3 linked regions of the Nothobranchius furzeri genome follow. The protein of the gene in region 2 purifies or fractionates together with the protein of the main gene of each other region. This does not show direct contact. Links are inferred from orthologs where the notes say so. Each region holds a gene or a part of one and is shown on either strand. Other genes may lie near its edges.

What was found.
Region 1: the proteins of mtx2 (region 2) and chchd6a purify together in Homo sapiens (co-immunoprecipitation; 3 studies listed by BioGRID and IntAct, counting the BioPlex papers as one, with this or other methods). This does not show direct contact. The link is inferred for Nothobranchius furzeri from reciprocal best matches to the Homo sapiens genes MTX2 and CHCHD6.
Region 3: the proteins of mtx2 (region 2) and immt purify together in Homo sapiens (co-immunoprecipitation; 5 studies listed by BioGRID and IntAct, counting the BioPlex papers as one, with this or other methods). This does not show direct contact. The link is inferred for Nothobranchius furzeri from reciprocal best matches to the Homo sapiens genes MTX2 and IMMT.

Annotation. Positions count from the first base shown.
Region 1 is NC_091755.1:50,941,134-50,948,872, forward strand, and holds part of chchd6a (MICOS complex subunit mic25a), read right to left. Parts: intron 1,638-7,739; coding exon 1,502-1,637; intron 1-1,501. UniProt on the Homo sapiens protein: Component of the MICOS complex, a large protein complex of the mitochondrial inner membrane that plays crucial roles in the maintenance of crista junctions, inner membrane architecture, and formation of contact sites to the outer membrane.
Region 2 is NC_091752.1:28,394,452-28,402,655, reverse strand, and holds mtx2 (metaxin-2), read right to left. Parts: upstream 4,750-8,204; 5' UTR 4,608-4,749; coding exon 4,568-4,607; intron 2,842-4,567; coding exon 2,794-2,841; intron 2,705-2,793; coding exon 2,658-2,704; intron 2,337-2,657; coding exon 2,264-2,336; intron 2,184-2,263; coding exon 2,107-2,183; intron 2,025-2,106; coding exon 1,932-2,024; intron 1,864-1,931; coding exon 1,825-1,863; intron 1,746-1,824; coding exon 1,620-1,745; intron 1,557-1,619; coding exon 1,480-1,556; intron 1,219-1,479; coding exon 1,059-1,218; 3' UTR 307-1,058; downstream 1-306. Other genes in the region: homeobox protein Hox-D4b, read right to left, coding at 7,285-7,583. UniProt on the Homo sapiens protein: Involved in transport of proteins into the mitochondrion.
Region 3 is NC_091741.1:108,911,735-108,919,473, forward strand, and holds part of immt (MICOS complex subunit MIC60), read left to right. Parts: intron 1-189; coding exon 190-334; intron 335-2,904; coding exon 2,905-2,991; intron 2,992-3,537; coding exon 3,538-3,681; intron 3,682-3,826; coding exon 3,827-3,960; intron 3,961-6,226; coding exon 6,227-6,330; intron 6,331-7,002; coding exon 7,003-7,138; intron 7,139-7,629; coding exon 7,630-7,739. UniProt on the Homo sapiens protein: Component of the MICOS complex, a large protein complex of the mitochondrial inner membrane that plays crucial roles in the maintenance of crista junctions, inner membrane architecture, and formation of contact sites to the outer membrane.

The sequences.
Region 1 (7,739 bases), on a different chromosome or scaffold from region 2:
AGGTCCACAACGTCACTTTCCGCGACAAAAAAATGCTGACATCACGTGTGCGACCTGTGTTTACACTAGCCGGCATCATGGAAGCCCTCAGAGCTGCGCTCTGTCACTACCCGATCCATCAATTGTCCAAGCGCTTTTTTGCTTGTTTGTTTTTGCAAGCGGAATTATTGCTCCTCGCGGAAGACCACAGACGAAGGACGAGGTTAAGAATGGGGGAAGTACTGCCGCCTACAGGTCTGGCATGTCCTTAACAACATATTTATCCGGGTACGTGTGGACAGTTTGTTTTTAAAACGAGGTGGTGTGGATGCACGTTTTTGGAGGGGCGGATATTCGTTTTTAAAAAACCCCGGCTACGTGTGGACTAGGCCTGAATCTTGCTTTTTGTTCTTAAGGTAACTTCACTGTCAGCTCATTAGTTTTAAAGAAGTAGTTTTTTTTAGCAGTGATACATAATAGTAAAAGATCACTGAAGCCTGAAGAACAAAGAGTTAAGACAAAAAAAAGACTTGAGAGTAAAAGTGACTTTTAAGAGTTCTATGACTTATTTGAAAGGAAACAAACACAAAACAAGCATGACTTTCCAGAGCTTAATAATGACACACGGAAGTAAATATGAGAAGCAAATCAGACAAAAAAACAATTACACTAATCTGCTGCTGCGAAAACGGACAGTGACTAAAAGTTGAGCCAATAGATGCAGATTTAATAGATTAAACGTAATAAAATATAAATTAAACTGGATTTAGAAATACACTTTCTAACATGATCTTCTTTAAGTGACCACAGCCTGGAGCCAAACTGTTTAAATTAACACAAATAAAGAAATGAAAATTGCAATGCTCCTACATTCCAGTTTTAGATTTTCTTCTGTTACACATATCCACTGCATTGCTGAGGAAAATATTCGGAAAAACATCGAATGACACCATCTGGGAAAACATCTTGCTTTAAACTCATCGTTATCTTGAGTGATCATATTTTCTGTTCATCCCACGCTTTAATTTTTTGTCAAACACAACCTAAAATTAGCCCCAACACCCGTCTGTAGAGACGAGGTGAACTTATTTTAAAGCAACCACACTGTTGTCAGTTTAAAGTCGTGGGGAAACAACTCAAGTCGAGTGGAAGAACTTAAGTTTTTGAACTTAGACTTTCGCTCTGAAATCTGTTTTCAATAACAGGATTTCTGTGTGTAAAAACCTTGAGACGCAACACTCAAAATCCTAGCAATTATAACTTTTTACCGCCTTGTGCCCCTTAACGTCGACACAAAAAAAGAACACAAAGGGTATGTGCTGCTCTAAATCAGAACACCTCCACTAGAAAGTGTGGTTCTTTGACTATATAAAAAGGCACTTTCATTTAGTTTTTAAACTTTTGGTTCCAAGATAATCTAGTTAGAAGCAAATGGTGTTCATTTAATGTAAATTCAAGGCTTCAATGATGGGGAGATGTTATCTGAATGATCAGGTTCTTACAGATACCTAAAGTCTCTTACCTTCTTTGCAGCATGTATACACTGCATGTACTCCTTAGCCAGGTCTGAGCACCTTAGAGTCTGCTCCTTGTTGTCCTTGTAGCAGGATAAAATCTGAGCCTGGAGGCCAGAACACACTGGAGTTGTGTTGCGAGACCTGCAAAAAGAAACAACAAACACCCAGAGAAAGATTCGTGAACATGAAGACAACAAAAATCCTGTTTTCCGTATATTTTCCCTGACAGTAAAACATGAAGTACTTCAAGAATAAAACTTGAAGCATCACTCCACGATTCTTACACCAGTTTCATTTTGAAACGGATTTGCCCTAGACCCTGCAGAAATGATTCTATGATTACGGCATGGCTGCATGTGGGGAAATCAGTCGGAAGATTTCATTTGCCTGATCAGTCCTGTACTGTAGAAACTATTAGATACTAGGGATGAGCAAGTACACCACTATCTGTATCTGTTCATTAGAGGTGCTGAAAAAAAAGTCGATTCAAGTCTGAATCGGGATTCTTATTTATAAACATTCAGAATCGATTCACAAAGGTTCCGAATCGATTTCAAGAACTCAAATATTTGGCATGTTACAGGTTTGAGATCTACAGATTTGTTATATTTTACAAGATAAGCAAAAATAAATGTTGCCTTTTGGTCAAAAGATTGCTTCTGTTTACAGTTTTAGAATCACTTTATTTTACATTGTAAATTTGCATTTTTGGAGCATGACCAGTGTCCCATAGCTTTAACTAACTTGTACAACAAAGTAGTTAATCCTGGAGTTGACACTCTTTGTTAATACTGACTGTGAATCGATTTAAATTGAGAATCGAGAACCAATTCTGAATCGAATCAGCACCCCAAGAATCAGAATCAAATCAAATCGTGAGTTGCTCTAACCCCCAAATTCCACTACCTCCGCTCCGCCACGAACTCCGCAGCAAAATCGGTCCCGTTGTAGTCAATCAGAGCTATTCCACTACTGCAGCCGTGCTGCGGCAGTGCGCCGCCCTCTGTTCCGGCGTCCGGCAAAAATAGAATCGATCCTATTTTTGCCGGACGCCGGAGCACCTCCGCAGTCAATGGACAGGAATCACAACCGCCCAACAGGAAAGGGAGCAAGCACAACTTCCGTTATTTAACAATAAATCGATAAACAAAAAGTGTTTTTTGATTCATATGCACAGGTTTAACAACTTTTAACAACTATCAGTGGCGGTTGAACTTTAAATGCACAAAAGTAAGCTATGAATACAGTTTCCACTATCAAAGTAGACACACTTTGTTGATCCAAACACTGCTGATCTCTCAACACAAATGATGGGCAGATTAAACAGCTCATGCAGATGCTTCTCCCACACAACAGGTGTTTGGATCTAACTTCCGCGTTTACTGCTCGGACTGTATCGCAGGATCTCGAAAATCCTGCGCATGCTTGTTTGCGCACCTCAGGTCTCCACAATGGAGCGGAGCCGTTGTAGAGCGGGTACCAGTAAAAATTGAGTTCGGAAGCGAGCGGCTGCGGAAGGTGGGGAGCGGAGGTAGTGGAATTTGGGGGTAAGATTCACATCCCTACTGTTCAACCATCTAAATTATCTGTATCTGTACTCGGAGTGGGCGTGGCCTAACCCGGAAGTGGGTGTGGTTTACATCTATACATTATTTTAAGTCTGACATTGATATGGAATGATCAAAAGTTGCTATGTGTATTGTTTATTTGAAAACTATTTACAGAGCAGCCTCAGAATTCAGATTAAATATTTTTTATCACAATAGTAAAGGAACTGTTACAGAACAAGTTTTTCAATTAAATTAGAACATTAATATTTAAATGCATGAATTAATACATAAAGAGAGAGACAGACAGACAGACAGACAGACACAGAGAGAGAGAGAGAGAGAGAGAGAGAGAGAGAGAGAGAGAGAGAGAGAGAGAGAGAGAGAAACCCGAGTGGAGGCAGTGAGCGATTCAGCACGAGCCGTTTTCAGCTCTGTCTTGTCAAATGCACCACGTACGTTACGAAAAAGTAACTTTAAATATTAAACCGAAAAAGAGGTGAGCTGAAGAAAACCTAAGGAGTTCTGAAGAAACGTGAGCAACAGAGATGCAAGCACAGAGAGATCCGTTACCATCTGTGTGTGTGTGTGTGTGGATGCATGGGCCGGACTGGGGCTGCAGAGTTTTGTGTGTAGGGAGGGGCAGGCGCCCTATATGACTGGCCAATCACAGAGCGTGAAGACGGTCAGTTACCCAATGGGGATTTTCCTTCAGCACAATTATAGATATTTATATTAGATACTCAATGGCCATACGCCTGGTGTTTAAAATCTGTGTGATTTGGGATTATAAATAGTCACTTCAGTGCGTTAAGTTTACATGACTGTTCAATTGCATTGTTTTGTCAAAACAAAATGGTAAATGGTAAATGGCCTGTATTTGATATAGCGCCTTCTAGAGTCCTGGAACCCCCCAAGGCGCTTTACAACACAATCAGTCATTCACCCATTCACACAAACATTCACACACTGATGGTGATGAGCTACGATGTAGCCACAGCTGCCCTGGGGCGCACTGACAGAGGCGAGGCTGCCGAGCACTGGCGCCACCGGTCCCTCCGACCACCACCAGCAGGCAACGTGGGTTAAGTGTCTTGCCCAAGGACACAACGACAGAGAGAGACTGAGCGGGGCTCGAACCTGCAACCTTCCGGTTACGGGGCGAGCGCTTAACTCCTGTGCCACCGTCGCCCAATCAGCTGTGCTTGGTGGACAAATTTTATAATGGACATCATTGTGCCTATTTAGGGTGGGCTTCAGATCCCCCGAAAAATTACCCCAAGGCAGTAATTCTCATCGTGTCACAAACTATATCTATAAGGTTCAGGTGCGCACTTAAAAATTTCTACAAACTCTAATTATAACACATCCTTTTCAGTGGCGTGTCCAGATCTTTGAAAATGGGGTGGCCCAGGTGAGGCACTACTTTGTACATGGGTGGCACCAATGGTTATGCTTATTTCATTTTTTTGTTTTACCCCAAGCCTTTTGTGAACAATGAAAAGCCAATTTAAAGTGAATTCAGTGTGGTGGCCCCTGGGGTGGCCAATCAGATTCCAAGGGTGGCATTTGCTACCCCAGGCCACCCCCTGGACACTCCCCTGATTCTTTTGGCTGTCAGTACGTGCCAGTTCCATTCCACAACCCTGCGGGCTAAGCCCCCGTTGTCTTTCCATGCTACTGACATTCCTGGGTTTTATATTTTATGGTAAGTAACCTGTTTTTGTATAGCACCTTCTTAGGGTTCTACAACCCCCCCAAGGGTCATGCACCCATTCACACACACATTCACACACTGGTTAATATATTTAGATTTAATTTTAAACATTTGTTCAGAGTCTCTCGAAGTCCGTTGTAGAACATTTTAGATCTTTATATGAAAAGGCACAAAGGAAATCGTGTTGCAGATCAAGCTAAACTGCACCAGAACAAGAGACATCAGGTATCATGGAGAAACTTCAAGTATCGGGACAAACACAACATTTCATAATTGATTCTGTATTTTTGATCTCTGATTTTATCCTGGACCCATATTATTTTGATATGTTTTTTAATGTATTGGTACATTTATTCCTAATAGTTGAGGCTTTTGTCAAACAGATGTTTTAATTGTTTTATTTATTATTTTCATTTGACACTTTATGAAGCGTGGTGGGTTTTAGTTAATTATAGTTGTTTTTTTTGTTTGAAGTTTATTTCCTGATACCTGATGCTTTTTGAAATAATTTATTTTACGATAAATTATTTGTTTCTGATTTGTGAAGTTTTTTTTCTTCCTAATACTTGATACAGGCAGGTTAAGCGTCTTGCCCAAGGACACAACAGCAGCCCTTTCTGGTTGGAGCTGGGATGGAACCTGCAACCTTACGATCACGTGACTGGCTGTGTTGATGCTTTCTTCTTGAAGAAATTAAGCATTTTTCCACCTAAATTTGACCTAGGGATGTTCTAAAATGCACACAGTGGCTTTAGCCCAAACACCAAGAGTTGTTTAATTGTTTCTGCAGTTAAAGACTTCACACCTGGTTCTGTTTAGTAATTCATTTCTTGCATTGTTTTTCAGGTACAGTATAAAAAACAATCTTACGTAGAACAATAGAAAACGCATAAAGAGAGTATGATAAATCAAGTTACAATTCCACTAATGGGCACCTGTTTAACGAGTGGGATGTGTGGTACGTGCTTCACTGTAAATCCTACAATTAAAACTAAATCACACTTAATTGAGTGTGTAGGATCGTTCTGATCAAATACAGCAGAAAAGTGAGCTTTGAGGGATTGAATTGGCTGTGCTTAATTTGATATGTGGGCTGTATTACAATTTCTTTGCCTGTCGGTCTTTGTGAGCATTAAGTGTGACAGGTTTGCTGCTTCGGCGCCTCGCTGAAATAGATTCTGACTGATTGAAGCGGAGACAAGCAAGTTAGGTACGCCTACGCAGGTACAGACTGGTGTAACACCTCTGTATTTACCAATTATGATGATGGACCAGTAGGTTCGGACATAGGAGCACAGTGGTGTGTTTTAGTCAGACTCAAAAACCAGAAGATGATTTTTTCTAAACAACCCAAATTTTACTAACTGAATTGAGTAGTTAAAAACACAGTTTAACAATAATGAAAAGAAAAAAAAACACTCAATACACCAAAAAACATTTAACATACGATATTCTAATCACTTGGCCAAAGTGTACATCCTTTTAAATCTCTTGGGTGCACCCTGTTGACCTGTATCCTGTTTCTTAAAATCAGGTTACGTAATTTCAATTCCACAGGGAGTCCTAACATACCGTAAATCCTCTAATACAGGCCCGGGCCTGTATTTGACTCAAGCTCACCAAGCCCCAGGCCTTTATTGGAAGGAGGGCCAGAATTTGAGGCAGGCCTCTATTTCTATTTGAGCAAAATGAACTAATGGTTCGCTGGAGTTTTTGACAATTAAAATTGCACCCACATTTTCAAAGTTAAACACATTTCTTTTAACAACGGTAGTTTCTGCTTCAGCCCTCTCCCCCCTCCCCCTGCACAGCGGCCGCAAACTCACTGATGCGCCTGCAGCCTCTCGGAGTTCCTGCTGCTCTAAACATTAAAATAATTATTTCATTTTCTGTTCCTCACTTCTGATTACCTTCAATGGTGTCTGTTTGTTGCAACCACCAGGTACAAAAACTAACTTGTTTTTATTTGACTATTTTTCTGTCCTGCCTGTTTATTATCTTCCTGCATCTCCTCTCAATCCTAAAGAGAAACTGCTACCTGGGTTCATATATATTCACCTTATGAGTTACCTTTGAGCTGCAGTTCTTAAAGATCTACCGACCGCAAAAACAGCGGAGTGCCGCTGCTTGGTGGCCGCATCAGTGATCGGTGCGTCACCGGAGGACAAGGTGATGCGCCCCGCTCCACAGCGAAACGCATCAGGCACAAATAAAAGACAGAAAACATTAAAGGAAATGAACCGACATGAACGATCGCGTGTCAGTACTGACGCTCTGGCACAGCGCGTTGCCCCCCCGAGCGCAGGAGCTTGTCACCTGCTGACAGCAGGCTGCTGTCTTTTCCGTGGGCTGCATCTTGCCGGTCATTATCACGTGACAGCGACTAGTCGATGACAGGCATAAAAAGTCACTATAGTGAAGTCGACTAGTTCATACAACCCCTATGGCTCCCCAGTGTTCTGCAGCGCACGTTCTCTTTGAACTTGATATCAAATTTTCGCCTCCTCTTCGTCTCCGCACGGTTAAAGTTACCCTCACGGTCTATCACTGGCAAATCAAAAGTGAGACGATGACACAACCGCCCCCGTACTTGCTTGTTACCACATTCCACCCGGCCACAATAAGAAACCGGCCATTATTCACCTCCGCCGACTCCGACACCGGCCAAAATATGAGACCCGGCCGTTAATTGAATAAGGCATGTATTAGAGGATTTACGGTAACATGTTTTCCACTTTTTAATTACAAAATAATGAACTTTCACTGTGAGCGCGCTGACAAACAGTAAACAAACAAGTTTGTAAGTTTTACCTTGCCATTTAAAGCAACCAGGATGAACTTCAGATGAAAAGTTAGCTAGAGCAGGTTAGCTCTATGTAGCTTTAAGTAAAATAAAACAAAACGGCCACTTCTCAGTCTAACCTTTTCACTCTTCTTTTTCAACACAAAAAATGATGTTGTTATTTCAGGCTTGTTTTT
Region 2 (8,204 bases):
TCCTGGAAGTTCACAGGTCGAACCCCGACCTCACAGGAAACCTGGAAGACAGACGCTGACTCTGTCTGACACACAGACACACAACCTGGTCAACAGCAGGGCATCCAGAGGTGATCGGACGTTACCAATGAGCTTGTATGAGACCTGGAGGCAGGAACACATTCAAGTGTGGATACAGCTGCCACTGGAGCCACAAATAGACCTCACGGACTTATCTTTGCAGCTGTTTTCAATTTTGGTTTGCACTCCCCTTTGAAGTTGAAATATAACATTAAAACGTGAGCTTCAAAGTAAAACAAAAATACATTTATTGGGGAAAGTAAAAGTTTATTGAGCTGAAAATCTGCCTTAGGCACTTTAACATAAGGAAAACAAAGTGGAAAAACATTTAAATCACACCATCATCACTATGTTCCCGTTTAGTTTCTTTGTACAATAGAAGACAAAAGCAGCTCTGGGTTTGCCAACGCTGTTCTGCATTTCTTACAAGCTTCTAAGCACCCCAGGAGAAAAATAAAATGTGCACGGTTTGACCTCAAACTGGGGTCAAGTGGAGTTCTGCCCTCTGAAAGTTGGTCGTGTTGCACAGCTGTGAAATTCATACGCCTACCGTTCCAAACGTGGCTCAAAAAAAAAATCTTCCAGCAACCTAAGAATGCAACTGGTGGAAAGGTAGACTGTAAATAAATATGCAAATGACTGTTTCACAGAGCATCCATTCAACTCAAAAACCCAATCAGTCTAAACTACGACATCTGCTCCCATCGGCTCTACATTCGATGATTCTCTGGAACTCGTTATTAGAGGCGACATATATACCTTGTTAATTGGCAATAAATGTCATTTCGTGGACTTTCTTTTATCTGCAGTGACTTTAATAAAAAACATTTTCTCATGTCTTAAAATAACTATCATCTCTCAAGCTGCATGCGACATTCAGGCAGGAAGCAAAAGGAGAGAATATTTCAAATGGGCAGTTTTAGGGGGCTGTGTGCTACAGTCAGGAGAATGAGAGACGGAAATGCAGAATGTACAGGGCGAGGTCATTTATCGGGCCTTCATGAGCTCTTGTCTTCAAAGTAAGTCTGCTCGATGCGTCTGCAGAAGGACAGCAGGTTGCTGTAGCTCTTCACCCGCTCTGCCAGCTCACTGCTGGTCAGTCTGGTGGTCAGTATGGTGAAGAGGTGACCAAACACCAGTGCATCCAGCTCTGTGGGCCTAGAACACACACACACACACACACACACACACACACACACACACACACACATACACTCAGATACTTTACTCAAAAATTGTATTATTCATTTTGTTCGCCCCATTTACAAAACCATTACAGACCAAATTCACCCAACAAACAATTAACCTTTTCAATGAGAATGTCTTCAATTTAAGACGCCGTGACAACAATGATCCACAAGGTGGTGCTCAAGCGATGCCAGCAGATTACAGAACCGATCAGGTTTACTGGATACATACTGTTTGTTGAAGAAGTACGGTTGCATCCCCAGCCTCTGAGAGAGCGCCTGGCAGCACTGACTCACATCTTCATAAACCTAAAAGAGAGCCAGACATCAAAACAAATACTCAATGTATCGGCTGATTTATTTTTTACTGACCTGCTGAAGCGTTTTCCCTCCCCAGCCGATGGCGTTCATCTTCCTGCGCACCTCCCACTGCTTCTGATAGGCCAGGATTTTACTGAGAGGCCAGGAGTAAGGGCTGCTGTACCTGGGACGTGAGATCTACTCAAAATAAAGACACACCAATGAAACGATAAAGAGTACAATAAAAAAAAAATACTCAAAGAATGAGAATACACACCTCTGCCGCTGTAGCGTCATCGCACCACTGGATGTATAACTGCAGAGAGGTGGAGGAGTTGTTATGGTAACAACCGTGTGTTGTTCCTATGCGTATTTGTGTCGTACCTCGGCAGTGAGCAGCATGTTGTTAACAAGCTCCATGTAAGCTTTCATCTCAGCTCTCTGAACGTCGTCCAAGCCGTCACTCAGAGAGTGACCCTGGGAAGAAAAAAACGAGCCTTATAAGAACGATCAAATCCACACTTTGAGTTGATCTGTTTCTGTGAAACTGTCGCATCACCTTAGCTTTGGTGAATTGCACTATCGGACCAAGTTCTGAAACCACCTGGTTCCCTACATGGATGAAGGGAATTTTCCCTGCAGGAAAAGGAAATAAAAAGCTTGATTGAAAGAACAAAGTGTGGGGATTAGGGCTATGGAACAGCATGTGTACTGACCAGATGGCGACATGAATTCTGAGTTCACTCTGCAAAGCACCTGCACAGGTAGACCGCACATCCTGAGATAGGCCTGCAGAGGAGAAACCAGACGAACGGTCACTGAGGGAAGATGTAAAAACAAAACTTCCAAAAATGGCTGGAAACTAAAAAGATATAAAACAACTAATTCACTGTAAATCAAGTTCAAATGATGCTTAGTTGAAAACCTGTTGGTTTTTAAAAATATGTACTTATTTTTATATAATATATCCCTTTATAGATGGAATAAATTGTCAGTTTAAATGAATAAAATCATTGTATGCTGCTTTACATAAATGTAAGACTATGGCAGGAATAGAGGACCACACAGAATAAACATGCAGACATTTGAGCACAATCATAAACAATCTACCTGCACAGCAAGAGACGACGCATGGTCTGAGAGCAGGATCTGATCTTCTGTTTAGAAATAAACAAAGAAAGAAGGAGATCACCTAGAGAACTGGCAAATAAATAATTAGGATTGTTCTTCCAGTTCTCGGTCTTACCCTTCAGGGGTTGGTACAGGGTTGCATTTTCAGGCCAAGGCTCAGCAGCTGTCAGTCACAAACAAACATGTGCAGACATGATGCACAGTTAAAACGTGACTTCCTTGGTTTTATCTGGGTCAGTCTGATTTGGGTTTTCTGATGTACCGTAGTTGGAAACATTGTTCAGCTGTGTGACCAAACCTGGTTCCACCTCCAGATCTCAGCTTCACGTGGTTTGTGGTCAACCCGTGATGCACATTTGAAAACTTAAGTTGCTAAAGTCAATTTGAAGGAAAAATACTTTTAATCAGATGTTTATCTAACTAAGAAATAAATGTACTATTCTTCAAAAATGCCAAATCAGACTATTACTTATCCACCACAACTGAGAACCTCGGAACCGGATCAGAACCGCCGCCCGGACAACCAGGAGAGGATCATGTGCAGCTTTTAAAAATACCAACTGGACTTGCTTGCTTGTGTTTAGGTTGGATCCAGCTCACAGAAGCCCGCATGAGCTCCAGAACCGGAAGCTCTCCGTCTCTCTAAAGCACTAAACTACGTTAGGTGAACAGATATTAACGAGTATGAGACCGCTGACAGACGCTCATTAGTATTATATTATATTAACTGACCAATACTATTTTAATTGTCTGGTACACGATAGTAATCTGTACAATATTGTGATGTTACCTGCTGCTTCTCCTCTGGCCAATGATTTCTCCCTCTGGTTTGTCTCTGCCCTCTGGGGCGTGCAGCAAACTCATAACTTTATGGTTTTGGTCAATCAGAAGTAGAAATACAAACATGTAAAGTTTCCTCTGTGTCAGAGCCGCATTAGAATCCATATTTTTCTCTGGATTAAGCTAACAGTCCTCCTCTGACGTCACTTGGTTTGACAAAAAAAACTTTCTCACAAAAATGACTCTAAAAGCCTAAATAATTCATGTATGTGTAAAAAAAAACTTTTAAAACGAGTTTCTATTATGTTTCTCTAAACATTGGTTCATGGGAGTCTCTAACCTGCAATTTGCTCTTTAAGTCCTTATCTGCCAACACGGTTCTCACGTTATCCTAAATTTGTTTGGAACAACTCTGTCCAGGTGTATGATAGAACTGAGGTTTTAAACTGCTTTCACAAACATTTGATCTCATCTGGTTTATGTCTACTTCTGTTGGACCACCTCCTGTTTCCCCTTGCACAGCTTGCCCAATGACCCCTGGTGCCTCTTTTAATGTTATTCCATTTAATGTAGAGCAAGTGCATGAAATTATTTGAACTCTCAATCACAGGAAACCTTCTGGTCCAGGACTCCCTTGAAAATTACGTTTTTTAATCTCAATGGGTCCTTCCTGGTTAAATAAAAATATAAATGATGTGTTTTTGCTAACAAACCTCTTACTAAACTTTTATCTAGATTTCTTAAACTATATTCCACTTAATAAATATATTGCTTGGAATAAAACGATTAAACATTTACACAATTTTCCTCTTTAGCATCACCTCCAGAGCAGCAAACTGCTAAAACCTGCTCTTAATGATGATCAGTTGATAAATGTCTGTGATTAGCAGCAGCTAGCTGCAACAAATCGCCTTCATTTATCCGGAATTACTAGCTTGTCAGACACCACTTCTGTTTATAGGCATAGGTTATGTTAAATGTCCAGCTTAGCTTTCTGTTTTAAAAGGTCACATACACGTGAGTAAACTCCCTTTTCTGAGATGCTAACCATTAGCTCAGAGCTAAAGGTAACCTAGACGATCATTAAGAGCCTGAATTAAACACTTTACCTGCCAACTGCGACACGAAAGCCTCCGCTGCCAGAGACATGGTGCTGTATAACACTATTATTGCTAAACTGTAATTACAGACAGCGATTATTACTCGACTTGTGTTTCATGTCAGGTTAAGGACAAGTGTTGTTCTCTATGGTTCCGCCCGCATTTGATGTCCCCCGGTGCACAGGCAGTCTGATGTTTGGTTCCACTTTACGCACAAACCTTAGAAACATTTACTTTAATTTTATGCTTGGGAGCATTTAAATTGCGCGTTTAAAATCAACATTTTATTTTAAGTTTCCTGAGATCGATGTGTAGTTATTCAGTGGTAAAACAACAAAAAGCAAAACGTTTATCTTAATCTCATCACATCTGTATGATCTCGAATCAAATAGAATAGAATAGAATAGAATAGAATAGAATAGAATAGAATAGAATAGAATAGCCTCTTTATTGCTCCTCAGTTGAGAAATGTTGGTGTCTAAGCTTCTCAACAAAAACCAAATGGGGGCTAAAAAGCAGAAATTCGTTTGAAATTTTTCAAAAATTCTAAATCAAAATATGTATACAGTACACATTTTGGGATATAACAACTATTAGTCCACGTTAACCCACTTAAATCTCTTAAAGCAGACTTATATTTAGTTTTAGACAACCATTCTTCAGACTCGAGATCTTCCTTGTTAGTGTAAGGTGTAAGGCTGTCTTCTTTCCATTTGCAATTGTTTTCAATATACAGAGAGACTTAAAGTGGCACTTCTGAATTATGTATTCATAACTATAATTGTAGTATTATGAAGGTGTCGATCTAATGGCCCATTAATTAACATATTTATTTTTTTAAATGTATTCAATTCATTATAAGGTTTTTTTAACTCTTAATTGAAATTGAACTTTGGTTGTTAAATCCTTTTAGCACACTGACACTATTTGCAAACACTTTGTAGCTACCTTATTTATTTATTTATTTATTTATTTATTTATTTATTTTGGGGTAAACTTTTAAAATACTTTGTTGATCTGCTCCTCACTGTCAGTATGCAGTGGCAAATCCACCAGTAGAGAGCGCTCCTGTTTTTACATAAGGAGGATGGTGAACAAACCTGCAAATGCGAACCCTATTTTACCCAATTAGTGGGTACATTAGACCGTTTTGTGTGTGAGTAACAATAATTAAATAAACATGGCCTGCATGTGTGTGTATTTAAAAGTCCCACATTTTGCTGCACCAGTTGTTGTTAGTGATGCTCCAGTGTTTGAACCATATGCATATGTCGATGGTTTGAACCTAGCTGCTGGTGTGAACCGCGTCTCGACCAGAAGCTGCCTATTAATGGCGCCTCTTGTCCCGGTAATCAACACTCAGCAAAGACCTTCTGCAACTTAAAAAAAATTAGATCGTTAACAGCCTAAATCAAAGGCTCGTACTTTAATATTTTTTTTATTTTTAAGAGTAAATAGATACTTATTGAGTATAAAAACTAATATCAAGTCATGAAGTTTATTCTTTATTGGTTAAATAGTGGAGAAATATCGCGTGGAAAGCATTTAAATTTGTACATTTTTAACGTTTAATTCGTTTAATTCAATTAACAGAGCTACATCATTGCATATATTTCTCTATATAATTTTTAATTCAGTGGAATGTTTTTAGTGCAAGGTTTTGGATTTTGGATTTGTTGTTTGAGACGATAGTTTCATGTTGACATACGTCACTTCCGTTGGTCCCCCTGCATGAAACACACACATAAAGGAAAAATCCTCCTGCACACACAGATTCAGTTTTTTTTATTTCTTTTTTATCTACTTTATCAAAACATTTAAACGTATAAAAAATCAAATGATGTTTTCTTTTCAAAAAATAAACACAGATTCAAAAAGAACAAAGACAATTGGTAAAAGAATAAAACACGTTTCTAAAATCATACAAAATAAGTACTGACGTAAAGGTTCAATAGAATAAAATCAATGCTTCGTATGCCACATTAACATAAGGGGCTAATAAACAAACAGTCAAGGAAGTTCTTTTTATAAAACCCTGTCACCCTGAGAACATCAGCTGAATCAATGTTGTGCATGATCTGCTGGCCTACTTCTAATTTGTGCCCACAAAAGCAAAAAAATTAAAAAATACAACAAAAAATAAACTTTTTTTGGGGATGGACAGGACAATATGGCTACTTTCCTACAAAAAGCTAGAACAGTATTTATCCAACTAAGTCAGCCAGCGAGCGATTTGATCTTCCTGCTGCTGGTTTCTGTTTGTTTTTAAGCCTTTAAGCGCCAGTTTGTGGAACATTTTGGTAATGTGCATATTCATAAATTAGTTTAGGTAGCTAATATAAAACCCTGTAAGTTTACCCTGTAGAAAGAAACCCTGTTTAGGCAAAAAGACATCTCATTATCCTTAGAAATCAGTGAAACTGCGTTGTTTTTGTACTATAAAGGTGACAGATCGTCTGCAACCCTAGAAAAAAAGATTATTACAACTCAAATACATTCATTAGAAAAGATTGCAGCCTCTATGACCTGTAAATTAGGAATGTTTGAAATCCTTCAGAATAAAATGTGAAAAAGAAGAAATAGATTAAAGAATTCACAAAGATTTTGGTCAATCCGGCGAGGTTTCACCTAGAATTGTCCTTCAAGACTTCAATCACCTTGGATCAATTCCGCAACCTGAGTTTTTGCGGCGATAGTTCCATTTTCTGCTCTTGTTTTGGGGAGTTTCAGACGCTTATCGCGGTCTTCACGCTGTCGTTGTTATTGTTGTTGTCTGTGGTTTTCTTGTTTTTGCTTCTTCCTTTGGTGTTCGGCAGCTTGTTGTCTTTCTTCCAGCGCATGCGCCGGTTCTGGAACCACACCTTCACCTGACGCTCGGACAGGCAGAGCGCGTGAGCCACCTCCACCCGGCGGCGGCGCGTGAGGTAACGGCTGAAGTGGAACTCCTTCTCCAGCTCCAGAACCTGCTGGCGCGTGTAGGCCGTCCGCAACCGCTTCGGCTCCGGGCCCACGTGGTTCGGATTAACTGTAACAAAACATATAATAATAATAATAATAATAATAATAATAATAATAATAATAATAATAATAATAATAATAATAATAATAATAATAATAATAATAATACAAGTATTTAGAATAAATATCTTAGAGGCCAAATATTGTTTTCTAGTTGCCATATTTCTTTAAAACATATATTTACGTATTTATAAAGATTTCTTTTCAAATCTTATCTAAACATTATAAGATATTCTTTAAGTGCGTCTTAATGCGTTCCTGGTTGGCGAGAGGAGGTCCAAAAAACGATTGTTACCGTTAACTTGCAGCTTTTCTGAGCCGCATTGCTGTGCAACACACACACACACACACACACACACACACACACACACACACACACACACACACACACACACACACACACACACGCACACACACACACACACACACGCACACGCAAAGGCTGTGGCAGGGTCATAAAACTTTATAGGGGCTGTAATTCTCGCCTGGTCTCACCAAGCTCGTAAATAACTCGACAACAAAAACGATCCTCACAAATGGACGAAAGAGGAAAGGGAAAAAACCGAAAGCAGAATAAATATTGCTCGAACAGAAGCAGAAACCAGGGTGAGTGTGTCTCTTCCATCCC
Region 3 (7,739 bases), on a different chromosome or scaffold from region 2:
TTTCGTCTCCCAGCAGAGGAAGTTTGGATTTAAGTAAACCATTTGAGCGTGTCGATGGACTTGGGGCTCAGGGATGATCTTGTAGGAGCTGGATTAGACTACGCTGCTAAGTTGTTTCGACGTGTTGTGGCTCAGTAGTTAGGAACAATAACATTATTTTTTTTATTATCTCTAATGGTTTCTGTTCAGGTGGAGTTGAACCAGCCACCCTCCATGTTGGATAAACCAAAAACGGATCCCAAAGCCAAGTCCCAGAAGAGTGTGAAGGAGGCAGCAGAGGCAAGTGGCCCAGAGTCCAGTCTGGTCCCACCACCGCCAGCTCAGAGCATACAGGGTAGGAGGTTCTCACCGTTTCTCAGCCGCTCCTGCAGAAGCTACCACAGATTAGCCGCTGAAGGAGAGCCAGCTGTGGAGCGCAATGAGCTTCATTTGGTGTTGCGTTTGGGCCAAGCGGAGTGAATAAACGCATACGAGATTTGATTATGGCGACGTTAAAACACGACAACAGGCTGGTTGGACTTCATGAATTACCTTGTAGATTTAAAACTACGCTGCCTAAAAGATGCTGCTTGTTCACAAGTGGTCAGAATAGCTGGTGTTGGGATCATTCTGGAAGTGACGAGTGTCAGGTAGTCTGAGGAGCCTGATGCTTGTTGGAATAATAATCCTCATTGTTAGTGATTCTGATCCACAGGTAGGATATGAGCTAGATGATTTAGATGATGAAAGAGTTTAGAGAGCGGTGCAGACCCTAAAGGACTCGTTGGTGACGGGAACAGACAGCAGGGTTGGTTCCAGGGTCAGACGGTGGATGAGCCGGAGACGAGGACAGAAATGGTAGAGAAGAGTAGTGCAGAACATGTGTGAGACAGCGGGGGGGGGGCACATGGGCGGTCAGTGACCTGTGATGTCAGGAGGTTATCTCTGAGCATGTGGGCGGGGCAAAAGAGCGCGGTGTAGGGTTGCAACAAACGATTATTTGGGTCATCGATTCGATTAATCAGATTAAACGGGAACATTTAACAATGGAACTTGATTAGATAACAGCTCAGTGGCGTTCAAAACAACACGCTGTCACCTAAATGTATCCTTAGTTAAAATTTAATTAGCATTTTCAGTAGCTAGCTACTGGAAACGCTAATAACATTTACTTTCTACTGCTAACATGTAATGGTGACACATGTACGGGTTGGCACTAATCCAGTTTAAATTGCGTTCACGGATAGATGCGTTTGTGAATTACATGCTACGGTGGCTTGCCATAACCCCGCAGCGGAGCAGACTCAAAGCAGCAACCAGAGGTTCTGCTCCCTGGTGCTGCAGAAAGCTAACAATAAACAGGATGGCGGGGACTTTTCTTCCGCTGGTAGAGTTTAGATGTTCTTAGTTTCACGACCATCGTGTTTATTTGGAACTTCCATTTTATTTATGAAGCAGATTCCCACACGGCCGAGGCCAACCACAGTGCTGCACAGTAAAAGAGCATAAAAATCCACACACGGGAAGAAAGTAATAAAAGTAGTACAGTGACTACTATAAAATCAATAAAAATAAAACAGAGACATGGTACAATGCTAACTCGGCTGAAGTAAAAGCCACGGAATAAAAATGAGTCTTCAGGCGTGATTTTAAATCGGAGAGAGAGGGGGCCATTCTCACTGCTAGAGGGAGTTGATTCCAGAGACGAGGCGCAAAGATTGAGAACGCGCGTTCTCCTTGCGTCCTCGCCCAAACACTTGGGACCAGGTACGTAGGGCAGAACCAGCTGAGTCAAGTACAGAGCAGCATAAAGACGGAGTGACTTAAAAACAAGAAGTAAAATTTTAAACTGGATGCAGTAACGCACCGGGAGCCAGTGCAGCTGGGCCAGAACAGGATTAATGTGCTCCCTCCTTCTGGTGTCCGTCAAAAGGCGGGCCGCCGCATTCTGCACCAGCTGTAGGCGCGCAACCGAGGAAGATGTAGATCCATAAAGAAGGGAATTTGCATAATCAAAGCCAGAGATCACAAATGTATGGATCACTGTGTGCCGGTCATGTCTAGTCAGGATGGATTTCATCTTTGGTAGCCGGCGAAACTGGAAAAAGCAGGATCTAACCACCTGGCTAACCTCACTTGATCTGCTACTCGCTAGCGTTAGCTAATCTACCCGTAGTTCCACTTTTAATCCTAGATTTTGGACCGTTTCTGCCTTTGTGTCTTTTCTGGTTTCTGTTTTCCTCCACAGCACCTGTTAGCACGTTGTGCACCAGTAAAAGGCATCTTCTTTACACGATAGCAAGCAACGTACCTTTGTTCAATAAAGTTCTGGGGGGGGGGGGGGGGGGGAGTAGCTTGAAAAGATGTCGCACGAGTGCTACGTGTAAAAATAGTTTAATGCACACAGATTTTTTTTTTCATCGCACCTGCGACATATATGTCCCCCTCGCTCTGATCTGCCTCGGCCTGCTCTGCTGCTGCATACAGATGATCGTTGCCAGCGCATTTGCAGCCGCGGTGTCCATTACTGAACAGAAGCAGCCGGAGCAGTCTTGCTTTTGGGACTCTCGGACTCTGATTTTGTATCGTGCTTTGCTGTGTCTGCCAGCACTGTGTGTGTGTGTGTGTGTGTGTCTGATTCTATCTGCCAATTGGACGCTCCCCCTAATGGCACGCGTGATTTTGAGCTGGCCAATCAACCGGCGGTGGGTTTGTCAGCCTTGTTCGGTTCCAGGCAGACCGCCTTGGGAAGAGGGGTTGTGTGCAGGAATGAGAACAGCCCTAACCCGGTCCAGGCGGGGTGGAGCTGATGCTAGTGTGTAAGGGCCATTAGTGTCTCATCAGGGACTGGGTGGGTCTGTCTTTACATAACTCAGTAAGCGCACACACCAACCCGCTGTGCCTGTAATGTGTGTGTTCATGCAGAAGCGTCAGCAGAGGCGACTCAGATCATCTCGGCCATCAGTGAGGTCCCATCAGTTCCTGCTACGTGTGACTCAGAGGCAGCTGCAGGTACGTTCTCCTCCCCTCTGGAAGCTCTGACCTGGTGCTGGCCTGTAGGCCTTGGGTTGGACCTACTGGTGTCTGAATAAAGTCCAGCCTCCTCCAGGCCCAGGGTTCTACCTAGCAGGGCATAAAGCCTAATCTGGTCTCCACCAGGTTCTAAATGGTTCCATCCCAGTGTAGAAAACCACCTTCAGAGTCACCGGGTGGTCACGTGATGTCCAGGTCGTCTGTGCACAGGAGACCGTGGTTATGGAGACAGGGTGTGCTTCAGCCATGCAGACGTTTGGGTCACATGATGGAGGTGATGGTGGCTCAGGGGTTAGGAGTTTGTCCTGTAACCAGTGGGTTGTCGGTTTGAACCCAGGCTCTGTCCAGGTCATTGTTTGTGGTTTTAGCAGACACGTTCGTCCAAAGCGACTTACAGCTGTGGCTACAGTGTAGATCACCACCATCAGTGTGAGTGTCTGTTTAAAAAACATGAACTAGGTTCATATGATGCTGCTTCGTGTGTGTGTGTGTGTGTGTGTGTGTGTGTGTGTGTGTGTCCTACAGACGAGTGTAAGGAGTGTCACAAACACGCTGATGTTTCAGAGACGGCAGCAGTCGCGTCAGCAGAGCCTCTAAAGGAACGTCCAGTTGATGAGGTCACTGCTAGACTGGTCCAGCAAGACCAGGAGGAAGAGAAGCTTCTGGCCTGTGAGCGGATAACCACACACACACACACACACGCACACACACACATTAATGAAGCTTCCCTGGTTTAGAAGCGTGGTAGTCTGCAGCATCGGGGGTTTATGCTTGAAGCTTTAAGAGGTTTCTGAGCCTGCTGTTGTTTTTGCAGCCCTTTCATCTCGTCTGGAGGACTCTCTAGCCTCCTCTGCTAAGGCCACGCTGCAGGCTATTGGAGCTCAGGAGGTGGCTCTGCAGGCTGTCACCCAGCACACACGCAAGCTGAAGGACGCCATGGAGGCAGAGGTGGGTCAACCTGAGGATACCTGTGGTTCTAGGTGTGTGTGTGTGTGTGTGTGTGTGCGCGCGCACGTATGTGTGTGTGCGCGCGCTCGCAGGATGACAAGTCGGGCTAGAGCAGAGGTGTCCTGTTGTCTTTAAGACAAAAGACAAAATGGTAAAGTTAACCGTGCCCAAGGGCAAAGAAAAATGTGTCTTCCTTCTATTGAAATGATGAAGAGGCAGCAGCTGTCGATCATCAGGAGGTGGACTCCAAACAGAACATGTACGATAACTCCTGAAGTGAGATTTACAAACGGAACAGGACGTTCCATCTGTGACGCCGGGCTCTTCCGCTGGTTGCTCTTCCTGTCCGCGGAGGACGGAGCGGTATGTGCAGCCAGGCGAGTGATGTTCGGAGGAGCTGTCTGATGGGTGAGTTTAGGCTGGGGTCCTCAACTAAACCTGAGTTTTCTCCAGCAGACACCGTGAGGGCAAGACGCTCTTCTAAAATACACTTTAAGTATTATTGTTTGTTGTAATTTATTAATATTTAAAACGGCTTTGTTTCTGGACCAGCTCTGCACCCTTACGGGGTCCAGGAGGGTGCGTGGGAGCTCGCCCGACTAATCTACGAGTTTTGCTGTTAGGTCTGTGTGACCGGTGTCGGAGCTTGCCGGCAGTAAGTCGGGCTCGTTTCCAGTGAGAGTTGGACTCTGTCAGGGCTGCCTTTTGTCACCGATTCTGTTCATAACTGTTATAGATGGGACTTCTAGGTGCAGCCAAGGTGTTGAGGCGATCCGTTTTGGTGGCCTGAGGATCGGGTTTCTGCTTTTGGCAGACGTGGTCCTGTTGGCTTCATCAGAACGTGATCTCCAGCTTTTGCTGAGCGGTTCTTAACTGAGTGTGAAGCAGCTGGGATGACAATCAGCTCCTCTAAATTCGAGACCATGGTCTTGAATCGGAAAAGGGTAGAATGACAGCAGCAGCTCAGGAAGTACAGCGGGTTGTCCAGTAATGGGAAGGTTGCGGGTTCAATCCCGGCTCCGACCAGAGAATGCTGCTGTTGTGTCCTCCTTGGGCAAGACACTTAACCCGCCTTGCCTACTGGTGGTGGTCGGAGGGGTTGGTGGCGCTAGTGCTCGGCAGTCTCGCCTCTGTCAGAGCGCCCCAGGGCAGCTGTGGCTACATTGTAGCTCACCCCCACCAGTGTGTGAATGTGTGTGTGACTGATTGTGTTGTGAAGCGCCTTGGGGGGTTGCAGAAACCTAAGTAGGTGCTATACAAATACAGACAATTTACCATTCTCCGGGTCGGGGATGAGGTCCAGCCCCAAGTGGAGGAGTTTAAGTATCTCAAGTTCACGAATGAGGGCAAACTGGATCAGGAGATCGATAGGTGGGTAGGTGCTGCATCTGCGGTGATGTGGGCATTGTACCGCTCTGTCATGGTGAAGAGAGAGCTGAGTCAGAAGGCAAATTTATCTCTATTTACTGGTCTTTCTACGTTCCTACACTCACCTATGGTCATGAGCTTTGGGTAGTGACCGAAAGAACAAAATGGTGGATACAAACAGCCGAAATGAGTTTCCTCCGCAGAGTGGCTGGGCTCTCGAGAGGAGTCAGTTGAGGTGGCTCGGGCATCTGGTCAGGACGCCTCCCTGGTGAGGTTTTCCGGGCACGTCCAACCGGGAGGAGACCTAAAGGTAGACCCAGGACACGGTGGAGGGACTATGTCTCTCACCTGGCCAGGGAACGCCTTGGGATTCTCCCGGAGGAGCTGGCCCAAGTGGCTGGGGAGAGGGAAGTCTGGGCCTCTCACCTTAGGGTACTGCCCCCGCGACCCGACTCTGGATAAGCGGATGAAAATGGATGGAAGAATGGATGTTTTCCATCTAAACTGTTTTGGTTGTAATTAAATGTGTTTGCAGAATGTAAACAATTATTTATATTTGGAACGTGGATTTTGCTGCTAAACTTCTAAGTCCCCCCCTTGGGGGGCATTAGGGCCCAAAGGTCTGACGGACTGGATGTGGCCCGCGGGCCGTCAGTTGAGGTTCATTGGGTTGCGGGCCAATCGTCTAGGTAGTGGGCCTGCTCTGGGTTGGATGAGGCTGTTCCACGATTGAGTTTCAGAGGCGATTAAACGTTTTCGTCCTTTTGACAAAACAAAAAGTTTTTCCATCAGTGTGTGGAGAGCATTTGAGGTAATGTGGCAAAAAATGTTCCAGGAAAACGTCTCGGTAGGACGGATGAATGGGTGTCTCCTAAATGATTTCACATTCCTCGTCCAGGCTCCATCTGATGAAAAGTCCACCCAGTGGAAGGAGCTAGAAGCTGCTTTAGCTGAAAGAACCGCTGCTGTAAAGGACGCCACGACCACACTCTCAAAAGCCAAGTAATACACACACACACACACACACACACACACACGCGTGACTCCACTAACCATAACCTAAACTAAAGGTTAGTTCATTCCAAACTTCCAAAGCCCGCATCACACGGTGCCATTTGCGGCCATCTTAGCCAGATCCCTCGTCGGGAGCATAATCAGGTAAAAAAAACGTGAACTTGAGGGTGATTTGCAGATTTGTGGTTGTCCAGTGTGACCGTCTCACGACCAAATCAGCCTCCGACAGTCTGACGCCAAAGCGAGGGTTTTAAAAACGCAGCTTGTTCTCGGAGTTGGGTCATGAGCCGACGTAAAAAAGTGCTCTTAACTTTCCAGCTTTGTTCTAGTCTGCTTAGTGACGTATGCTTTGGGAGGTGCGCTCACGACGGAGCGTGTCCTGAGGGACAGAGACGTGCGGTCCGCCTCACTGGAATCTTGTCGTACAGCGACAGGAACAATCCTGTACGACGGCCAAAACTCGCTGTGTGGTCCAGGCTTAAACCCTGGACCAGCAACATGTCCCCACAATGTGGAAATGTCCACATGTTAAAAGTCCAAATTAGGCCACTTAAACATATAAAGACAAGTACACACACACACACACTCTGATCTTGGTTCTTCAGGATTCTGTTCATGTCTTCCTAAAACCTGCTGGTTCTGTTCTGTGTCTCATTTCAGTGAAGCCCTGGAAGGTCTGAAGTCTGTGATCAACCAGGCTAAAGGACAGAAGGTGGCGGCTGCTCGTCCTCTGATCTTAGCTGCGGAGGAGAATCTCCACCAGATGGTGGTGGACCTGGACAAAGTGGTCTCCAAGGTAGGAGCTGAGGCGTTAACACTTTTGTTGTTCTGGAGCTTTAATCAGATCAAGAAGAACTTAAGGACAGAGTCACCCTGGGACTGGAAGCCGGTTCTGAATTGCTCCCTCGTCATGTTGCGTGTGAAATGTTGCTGTTGGACCTTCTCTACACACACATGAATAACGCTAAGTTGTTGTGGGTCTCCAGGGATTAGCTGGAAGCACAAGCAAAGCCGTTTGGGCCAGAATGATCTTTGGAACCAGTCAGAACCAAGAGGAAGTGAGCTAGTGTTAGCATCTTCAGCTAGCCGTAGAGGAGAGCAGTGAGTTTGAAGCTGGATGGTAGAGAAGCTTGTTTGGTCAAAGTTCTGCCTGGATGAGTTTTTAATGATGTCATTTTAACCCGAATCACTTCCTCTGTGAGGCGATGCTAGCAGCTAACTCAGACCCTGCTATCAGGAGCCGAAGGTCGCGCGCTGGCTCACGGTGATGGTTCTGTCCACCTGCAGGTGCGTTCAGCAGAGTCAGAGGCCAAGGTGGTCTCCCAGTACACCGAACTGGTGAATGAGGCCAAGCAGCAGTTCCAGAGGGAGGTGAGCAGCCTGACTCCAGAGATCCA